2 linked regions of the Xenopus tropicalis genome follow. The protein of the gene in region 2 interacts with the protein of the main gene of each other region in a pairwise test. Links are inferred from orthologs where the notes say so. Each region holds a gene or a part of one and is shown on either strand. Other genes may lie near its edges.

Region 1 (4,608 bases), about 33 Mb from region 2:
AAGTTGCTCACAAGCCACTGGTTGGGGATCACGGCCCTAGGACCAAACTATTGCATTACAATGTAGAGGATACGAAAAGTCGGAGCAAGGTCTGCATCAATAAGCCCCCACTCAGCAACTCCTGCAACAGAGGTATGTGACTAAGGTCCTATCGCTACAGTGCCCTCCATAATGTTTGGTACAAAGACACATTTTTCTTTGAATTGCCCCTCAGTGTAAAATTTTAAATCAATTCAGATGTGATCAATGTGCACATTCCAGACTTTACTTTAAAGTTATCTGCATACATTTAAGTTTGCTCGAGGTAGTATACAAGCGTTAGGGCTCTGGCACACGGGGAGATTAGTCGCCCGCGACAAATCTCCCTGTTCGCGGGCGACTAATCTCTCGAATTGCCATCCCACCGGTGACAATGTAAGTCGCCGGTGGGATGGCACACACGGCGGCGCGATTTCGGCAAATCGCTGAAAATACCTCGTGAGGCAACTTCGCCGATCTGCCGAAATCGCCTGCGAAGCGTGCCGTCCCACCGGCGACTTACATTCTCGCTGGTGGGATGGCAATTCGGGGAGATTAGTCGCCCGCGAACAGGGAGATTTGTCGCGGGCGACTAATCTCCCCGTGTGCCAGAGCCCTTAAAAACGCTCAATCATTATTGGCACATTTGTGTAGTACAGACCTCGAGCTACATGCCAATAAAGACTGAACGTTCCTCTTGCCATCACTCCGATACAGGTAAATCTTTGTCTAGTCTGTCAATAACACATTTTCCCAGAATTCTGTAGGCAAACTGTAATCTGGCCATTTTTGTGGCTAACTAGTTTGCCACACTGGTTTGCATCTTGCAGTGTAGCCTCTGTATTTCTGTTCATGATGTCTTCTGCAGATAGTAGTCTCTGACAAAGATACAGCTGCCTCCTGAAGAGTGTTTCTGATCTGTTGGACAGGTGTTTTAGGTGATTTTTCTTTACCATAGTGAGAATTTTTCTGTCATTAGCAGTGGAGGTCTTTCTCAGCCTACCAGTCCCTTTGCAATTACAGAGCACACCAGTACATTCCTTCTTCTGAATGATATTGCAGACAGTTGATTTTTGTAATCCTATGGTTTGACCAATGTCTCTAAGGGCTGTGACTCACGGGGAGATTAGTTGCGCCACAACAAATCTCCCTTGCCTTGAGCGGAAACTTTGGCGACTACGGCAAATCGCGCCACCGCATATGCCATCCTACCGGAGATTTACATTCTAACCAGTGGGATGGCATTGCGGGGAGATTAGTCGCCCGTGACAAGGGAGATTTGTTGTGGCGCGACTAATCTCCCCGTGTGTCACAGCCCTAAAGGCTACTAAACTCCAGAAAATATCCTGCCATAGACAATACTGAGAATTGCCTTTGCTAAAACACATGTAGAGACAATTATCAGTAAATGATCAGCATTGTCTATTTTAGTAGCCACAACAAGTAGCTGCTACTAGTAGCTCTGTGTGTCTTCACCCTAATGGTTTTATTCTTGTTTTTCAGCCTTATAATAGCTTCCTTGACTTTCATTAACATAAGCAAGCAAGGTATCTTATCCCTGCACTAATGAAGCAATAAAACACACCTGAGTTATCTCAAACACCTGTAAATCCAATCGTCCCAAACATTATGGTGCCCTGAAATGAGGGGGACTATGTATAAAAAGTGTTGTAACTTCTACATAGTAAAAACTAAAATACATGCAAATAACTTTCATTTTAAGTCTGGAATGTGCACTTTAATCATGTCTTAATTGCTTGATTTAAAATTATACACTGAGCAGCACAGGGGTAAATTTAAAAAATTTGGGTCTTTGTCCCAATCATTATGGAGGGCACTGTCCTTTTAATTCTGGCCCTGCATGTATAGGGTCCTTTGAAAGCCTCTCTAAGGGCTCTGGCACACGGGGAGATTAGTCGCCTGCGACAAATCTCCCTGTTCGCGGGCGACTAATCTCCCCGAAATGCCATCCCACCGGTGAAAATGTACATACGCAGCGGCGCGATTTCAGTGAAATTGCGAAAGTTGCCTTGAGAGGAAACTTCCGCAATTTCACTGAAATTGCGCGCCGCCGCGTATGCCATCCCACCGGCAATTTACATTTTCGCTGGTGGGATGGCATCACGGGGAGATTAGTCGCCCGCAAACAGGGAGATTTGGGCAAAGATAAGTCAGATAGCGATTGTGTATAAACACAGAATACAGAGTAATAACTGCGCTAGGAGTAAACAAATAAAAAGCAAGTAAAAGTCAGCTGCACCACAAATCGTGGATCCAATAGTCCACTTGTAAATAATAAAAGTTCCCCACAGGTGCGCTTGTTCCAGACACCTTCACAGCTCCTCCACGTCACAGCAATACTTTACAAAGTAGCCTTTTCATATATGCACCTCACAGTAAGTGGAGACAAACATGTATCACTTTTCTCCCTGTTCTAAAACAAATGGCCAGGGATCATGAAGCATGTACTGGATCGTGAACAATTTCCCTGCTACTGGATCTACTCACTGTGTCTCAGATTGCAAAGTGCATATCACGCCGTTTACTACTCCATATTCTCCCTCCGTGCTGATAACAAAGACTTCCTCCTGTCCTGAATTCCACAAGCGACCACGTGACTCCCTCTGGTCAATCACGTTGTCCCTTCTCTCCTGTGTGAGAGGAATGCAACAAAGCAAGGGGGGGTGGGAGGGGGAAGCGTGCAGAGGTAGGATTCAATCAGGCTGTGTAGTTATGCCCATAGGCGGATTTTCAATAAGGCTTGGGGAGGAACCTGCTTTGGCACCTTAAAACCTGGCTCTGTTTCTGCACTTCCCTGCAAATCTTCTCTGGGTTCTGCAGAAATCAGCTGTGCTCTGATTGGATCTTTGTTCTTGTGGATTCACCAATCAAAGCACAGCTTTCTGGACAGGCAGTAAAATTTACCAATCAAGGCTTAGATGCAGACAGGGATCGGGAAATTTTGCTGGAGGCAGTGCAGAATTGAAGACTAAAAAAAAAAGAATGTGCGGGCTGTAAACTTTACCCAAGAACCAACTTTGAACTTTTGCTGCAGTTTTCATCCCACAGATACTATACACAAGTACTATACATGTTCTAAAGACTGACCCACTAGCTGAAATTAAATTGGTTTTTGTCACCTGACATATATAATATCCCTATCCCCTACCCTAACAGATGGAGGGTAAGTTAACTTTTCCCCCCGACAAAGCTCATTGTGCTTTAATATATTTGTTATGGTTTTTTGCACTATTTTTCTTTTACCTTTGTCATTGTTTTTTTCATTTCTAGTTAGTTACAGTGGAGCCCATGCTGTGTATCAGTGCCAGTGTTATAGTGCCAGGGCCTGAATATCTGCCATCTGTACCCACTGCTCCTCATGGCATATAATGTGCTGGTTTTGTATATAAAGACTGCGTCTCACTGTATATAACGTGCTTGGGATGTCAGTACCTGCTGCCTCTCTCTATAAAGCTAACTTAAACACATCTAAAGGGGTGGTTCACTTTTAAGTTAACTTGTAGTATGTTATAGAATGGCCTATTCCTAGCAGCTTTGCAATTGGTCTTCCTAGTTAATCTTTTATAGTTTTTAAATAATTTGTCTTTCACTTCTGCCTCTTTCCAGCTTTCAAATGAGGGTCACTAACCAAAAAGTATTGCTCTGTGAAGCTACAGTTTTATTTTTCCATACAGGCCCCTAAACTATTCATATTCCCATCTCTTATTTAAACCACTACCTGGTAAATAAGACCCTAGCAACCAGATAGCTGCTGAAATACGAAATGGAGAGCTGCTGAACAATAAGCTAAATAACCGGAAAACCATTAAAAATAAAAGAGGACCAATTGCAAATTGTCTCAGAATATCAATGTCTACCTTATATTAAAAGTTAATTTAAAGGTGAACTACCCCTTGAAGCTAACTGATCACAAACATAAATGTATAGAGAACCCCTAACAGAAGTGCACGTATGAATGCTTTTACATCCTAAGCATTTTAGGGTTAAAAAAAGCACCCCCACCTGCACTTTTGCACAGTAACCCTGGAAGTCAGTGGCAAGAGGTAGTTGGGAGGTTAATTTTTTACACCAGCAGTGAATCCACTAAGTCTCACATTAGCTGTAGGTCAGACTCTGTCTTCAGCCTCCCCAAACAAAAAAGTCACCCTCCGCCTATGGTTATGCCAAAGAACATTTATTTGATCATAATAAAAGCCCAACGCGTCTCGTATGAAAATACTTTCTCAGGGGCATTATCAGAGGGAAATGCCGTCCCCATTATATTATGTCATCAATTAATTATGCAAATGATCTAAAAGTCAATCAAGTTTTATACACACAATAAATATCACTTCTAAAATGAGTTAAAAGATAAAAGAAAAATGAAAGTTCTTTCATTAAGACACAGAATGCTTCAGACAATATTACTAAAATTGTGATGTCATGTCAATCCCTTAGGACGCACTGCAGATCTATGTCAATATTTAACCCTTTAGGTGTAAGTGTTTGCAGCCTATGAATCCAAAAGGTTTCTTCCCTGGATATGGCCTTGGTTATATCTCCCCACCTCCACTGAGTCCTTTTTTGGCA
Region 2 (3,938 bases):
TTTATATTCCAGTATCTTATTCAAACAACAGCCTGGTTGCCAGGGTGCTCCTAGCAACCAGATAGCGGCTGACATACCAAACTGGAGATCTTCTGAACAAAAAGCTACATAACGGAAAAACTATAAAAAAAAATATTTATTATTTTTTTTATTATATATTAGTGAACCTTACCTGAAATATGTGGGGTACCAGGCAAGCAAAGACTGAGGCGGCCCATGCGGTCACGTGATACCAGTCTGGCTAATCGTAAACCCTCATCCATTAGAGTCTGCTGGAGAATTTGCCTACTCCATGGTGCAGGATGTGACAGGTTAAGGGAGAGGTCTGTGGGGCCGCTGGGAGATGTTGGGATTCTTATGGCCACTGCTGTAGGGAAAAGGAGTAAAACATTCATTGCTGGCGTTCTTATAAAACAAGGGTCTACAGTAGCAATGAGCAAATTCGTCTTTCTTCACTTCACTGTAAAATGTGCGAATCTTAGAAAACATTTGCAAGACAGCAAAAAATTCTCGAAACAGCGAAAATGACCCGCGTCAAAAAAATTGTCTCGCAATGTTTTTTACACGTGGCAAATTTTGGAGCCCATTTCATGAAAAAATCTGCCAGTGGCAAAATCCATGCCTGGTGAAAGATTTCACTCATCACTAATTTACAGAATTGGTGTTGGAATGGCTCCACTCAGTAATATCTGTATTATAGTACAATTCAGTTGTGGCCCTGACCTACTCACTGAGGGGACTACCTGGCTGGCAGTAATTGCAGGCTTCCCCTTTTGTCTGTCTGGGAACTATCATGTAGTTCCTCGGAGCAGGTTGGGCATGGCATTGGGGCTGACACAAGTTTTCAGGGGCATGTAATGGTGCAAGAGTAAATGAAGCCTTTGTGAATGACTGGGCAATTTCAGTGCTTTACAAATAAACTCACAATTGTAGATGAGCCTTAATAATAATAATAATAATAATTATAATGTCTTAATAATAATATGTCTGTTTCCATTTCAACAGTTTACGAAATACATTACAAACATGTCTGCAGGCCAGATGAGGGGGTGCCAGCATAGTAATTATATCACCATCAGCATGACGGCTCCCATTCAGAACATGCATACAGCTGTCACACCAAGTACTAAAGTCCTGGATATTAACTGGCTATACCACATTCTTTCTAGGAACAGACACAATAAACAACTACCAGAGCTCATACTGTGTAACTAAACTGTGGACTCATCTGTACATGTTAGTGTTGTCTAACTGGGGTAAAGGTGTTTCATTTATTCAACATACAACCAATAAATAGGAAATACATTAAAATGCATGCACACTATTATATTTTTTAACTAACTCTATCTCCTTATAAAGGAATTGTGTAACTGTTACAGTTTTCATATATTCCTATATACTAGAAAAACACCTTTCAGTTGAAAATAAATCAGAAAATGCTTTAGTGAATTACAGGAAAACTCAAAACCGTGAAAAAAGTGACATTTCTTAAAAAAAATAAAAGTTTCAGAAATTAAAAATATTTACACATGAACCATTCCATTTGCATTTTTAAGTGAAAATGGAATTGGCTGCAGTGTGCAACGTGCAACTTTCTGATAGAATTCACCATGTTTTGTGGTCATAAAGCAGTGTTTTGATCCCTGAATTCCAAGTGCATCTGCCACATTTTCAGTTAGGGTTGCATTACTTTTGGAGCTAAAACAGTATTAGTGCATATGTCTGCTGTTCCTATAAACACAACCTGCTTTGGGAACCCTGGAATAACTGGTATGTTCAGGGTGGCAGTAGCTCCAGGCAGGGCCGGAACAAGGGGTTGGCAGAAGAGGCACCTGCCTAGGGCACCACGGTGGGGGGGCGCCAGGCAAGTACCTCTTCTTTCACTTACCACTAGTTCTGGGCCCATTCCCCCCCCCCCCATTACAGTACTCCCCACAACCCTGCTGCCTTGTGTATGAGCGGGGGGGGGGGTGGCAGTTTGGGGGTATGGGGACAGGATGGGGCGGGGCGCACAGGGTCCAGGGTTCCCTTGTGTAGGGAACTGGTAAATTGTACCTTTTCTAACTCCGTGGTCCCCTAGTATTGGACAGCTACGAAGGGTTGTTAATGTAATGGGAAGTAAGTCCCTTGTTCCTTGGTCATAGCATGACCCCTTGTGCAGTTCCACAGTTTGGCCATTAGGTGGCACTGTGATATAAAAGGCTCAGCAGCCATGAGGCTGGAAGCCATTTTGTGAAGCTCTCTGCCTGAGCAAGCAGGCAGAGAGATACTGTGGAAATCTAGGAATAGGTAGGTTCAGAAAGAATAGCCAGCTCCTGTTATAGATCACACTAGGGGGCACATTTACTAACCCACGAACGGGCCGAATGCGTCCGATTGCGTTTTTTTCGGAATGATCGGTAATTTTGCGATTTTTTTCGGCGTCTTTACGATTTTTGCGTAAAAACGCGAGTTTTTCGGCGTCTTTACGATTTTTGCGTAAAAACGCGAGTTTTTCGTAGCCATTACGAAAGTTGCGCAAAGTCGCGCCTTTTTCGTAGCGTTAAAACTTAAATGGCGCAACGTTTCGCGCAAGTTTTAACGCTACGAAAAAATCGCGACTTTGCGCAACTTTCGTAATGGCTACGAAAAACTCGCGTTTTTACGCAAAAATCGTAAAGATGCCGAAAAACTCGCGTTTTTACGCAAAAATCGTAAAGACGCCGAAAAAATCGCAAAATGTTCGTTTCCAATCGGAATTTTTCCAATTCGGATTCGAAATCGTGTCTTAGTAAATCAGCCCCTAGGTGTGATAGACAGGCAGGGCTATTTAGTGAGCAGCATTTTGGCTCCGACCAGGAATTGTAAAGGGATTATAATCCCGGGTATAATACTGCCCAGAGTAGGGTTAACAGTGTACAGACCTAGGGTTAGATAGTGATCACCCAGGTTCCACTGGAAGCATATACCTGAAAGCTGGGAGTTAACCCATTGTACCCTGCAGCTAAAGGGTTATTCTGACTATGCTGTGTAAGTACTGCCTATGCTGTGAGATGCTACTACCTACCTATTCTATGCTGTAATTACACTATAAGTGGCTGTGTAAATAAACAGTTCATGGTTTCAAGGTTAAGAACCACTGGCGCCCATTTATTGAGAAATACAACAACATATATGCCTGGCCTCCATATAAAGTGAGGGCTCACCCCTGAAGGATACAGTCTCATCCTGGGTAAAATACGGTGTAGCTTGTGGTAATAGAAGGGCTAATTTACTATAAGCTTACACTTGTATCAATAGATAAACTTTGCAAGGTTTAGCAAAAGAGGTGGAATGGATGCAATGGCACTCAGCACACCTATACGGAAGTGTTTGGACATAAGTACGAGTTAAGTAAGAGTTTCTACTTCATTAGTCATTTTTAAAATGAATGCAGATGCTTATTTAGACGAATAGTACAGAATCTACCTATTGTATAATGTGCTTCAGCACATTGTAAGCTTTGGTAATTGATAGATCAGCACAGAGGCATGTACAGCAGTGACTTTAATGTTATTTTGGGGTGTTTGGATCCAGGTATAATTTATTGTTGCAGAGACAATATTGGATTATAGGTGTCACAGAGAACACGGTTACCTTGCAAACTGCCGTCCATGCTCTCCCCTGACATACTGCCACTGCCTTCTTCCACACTGTGGCGCATTGATACAGAGCCACTCTTTGTGTCTAGCTGCAAAGGCATCTCCACAGCCTGGACATATATAAAAAGATAAGAATTAGTGCCTCATATAATATAAATGGATAATAAGAACTTTCTCTCTTCTCCTATTGAAATACATTAAAAATATATTGATCTTTGTGACAAAAGCAATTGTAAAAATATTGTAGAAAAGAAAGAGTTCAATGAATGATTATGTATATATAGCTTCTAGATATATTCAATAAAAAATAAAGATTTG

The links. The genes of interacting proteins can lie anywhere in the genome.
Region 1: the proteins of nab2 (region 2) and tceanc interact in binary tests that used the Homo sapiens proteins (3 or more experiments, as listed by UniProt). The two-hybrid records come from large-scale screens. The link is inferred for Xenopus tropicalis from reciprocal best matches to the Homo sapiens genes NAB2 and TCEANC.

Annotation. Positions count from the first base shown.
Region 1 is NC_030678.2:105,791,813-105,796,420, forward strand, and holds the start of tceanc (transcription elongation factor A N-terminal and central domain-containing protein), read right to left. Parts: upstream 2,835-4,608; 5' UTR 2,527-2,834; intron 1-2,526.
Region 2 is NC_030678.2:139,246,383-139,250,320, reverse strand, and holds part of nab2 (NGFI-A-binding protein 2), read right to left. Parts: intron 3,731-3,938; coding exon 3,616-3,730; intron 368-3,615; coding exon 173-367; intron 1-172. UniProt on the Homo sapiens protein: Acts as a transcriptional repressor for zinc finger transcription factors EGR1 and EGR2. Isoform 2 lacks repression ability.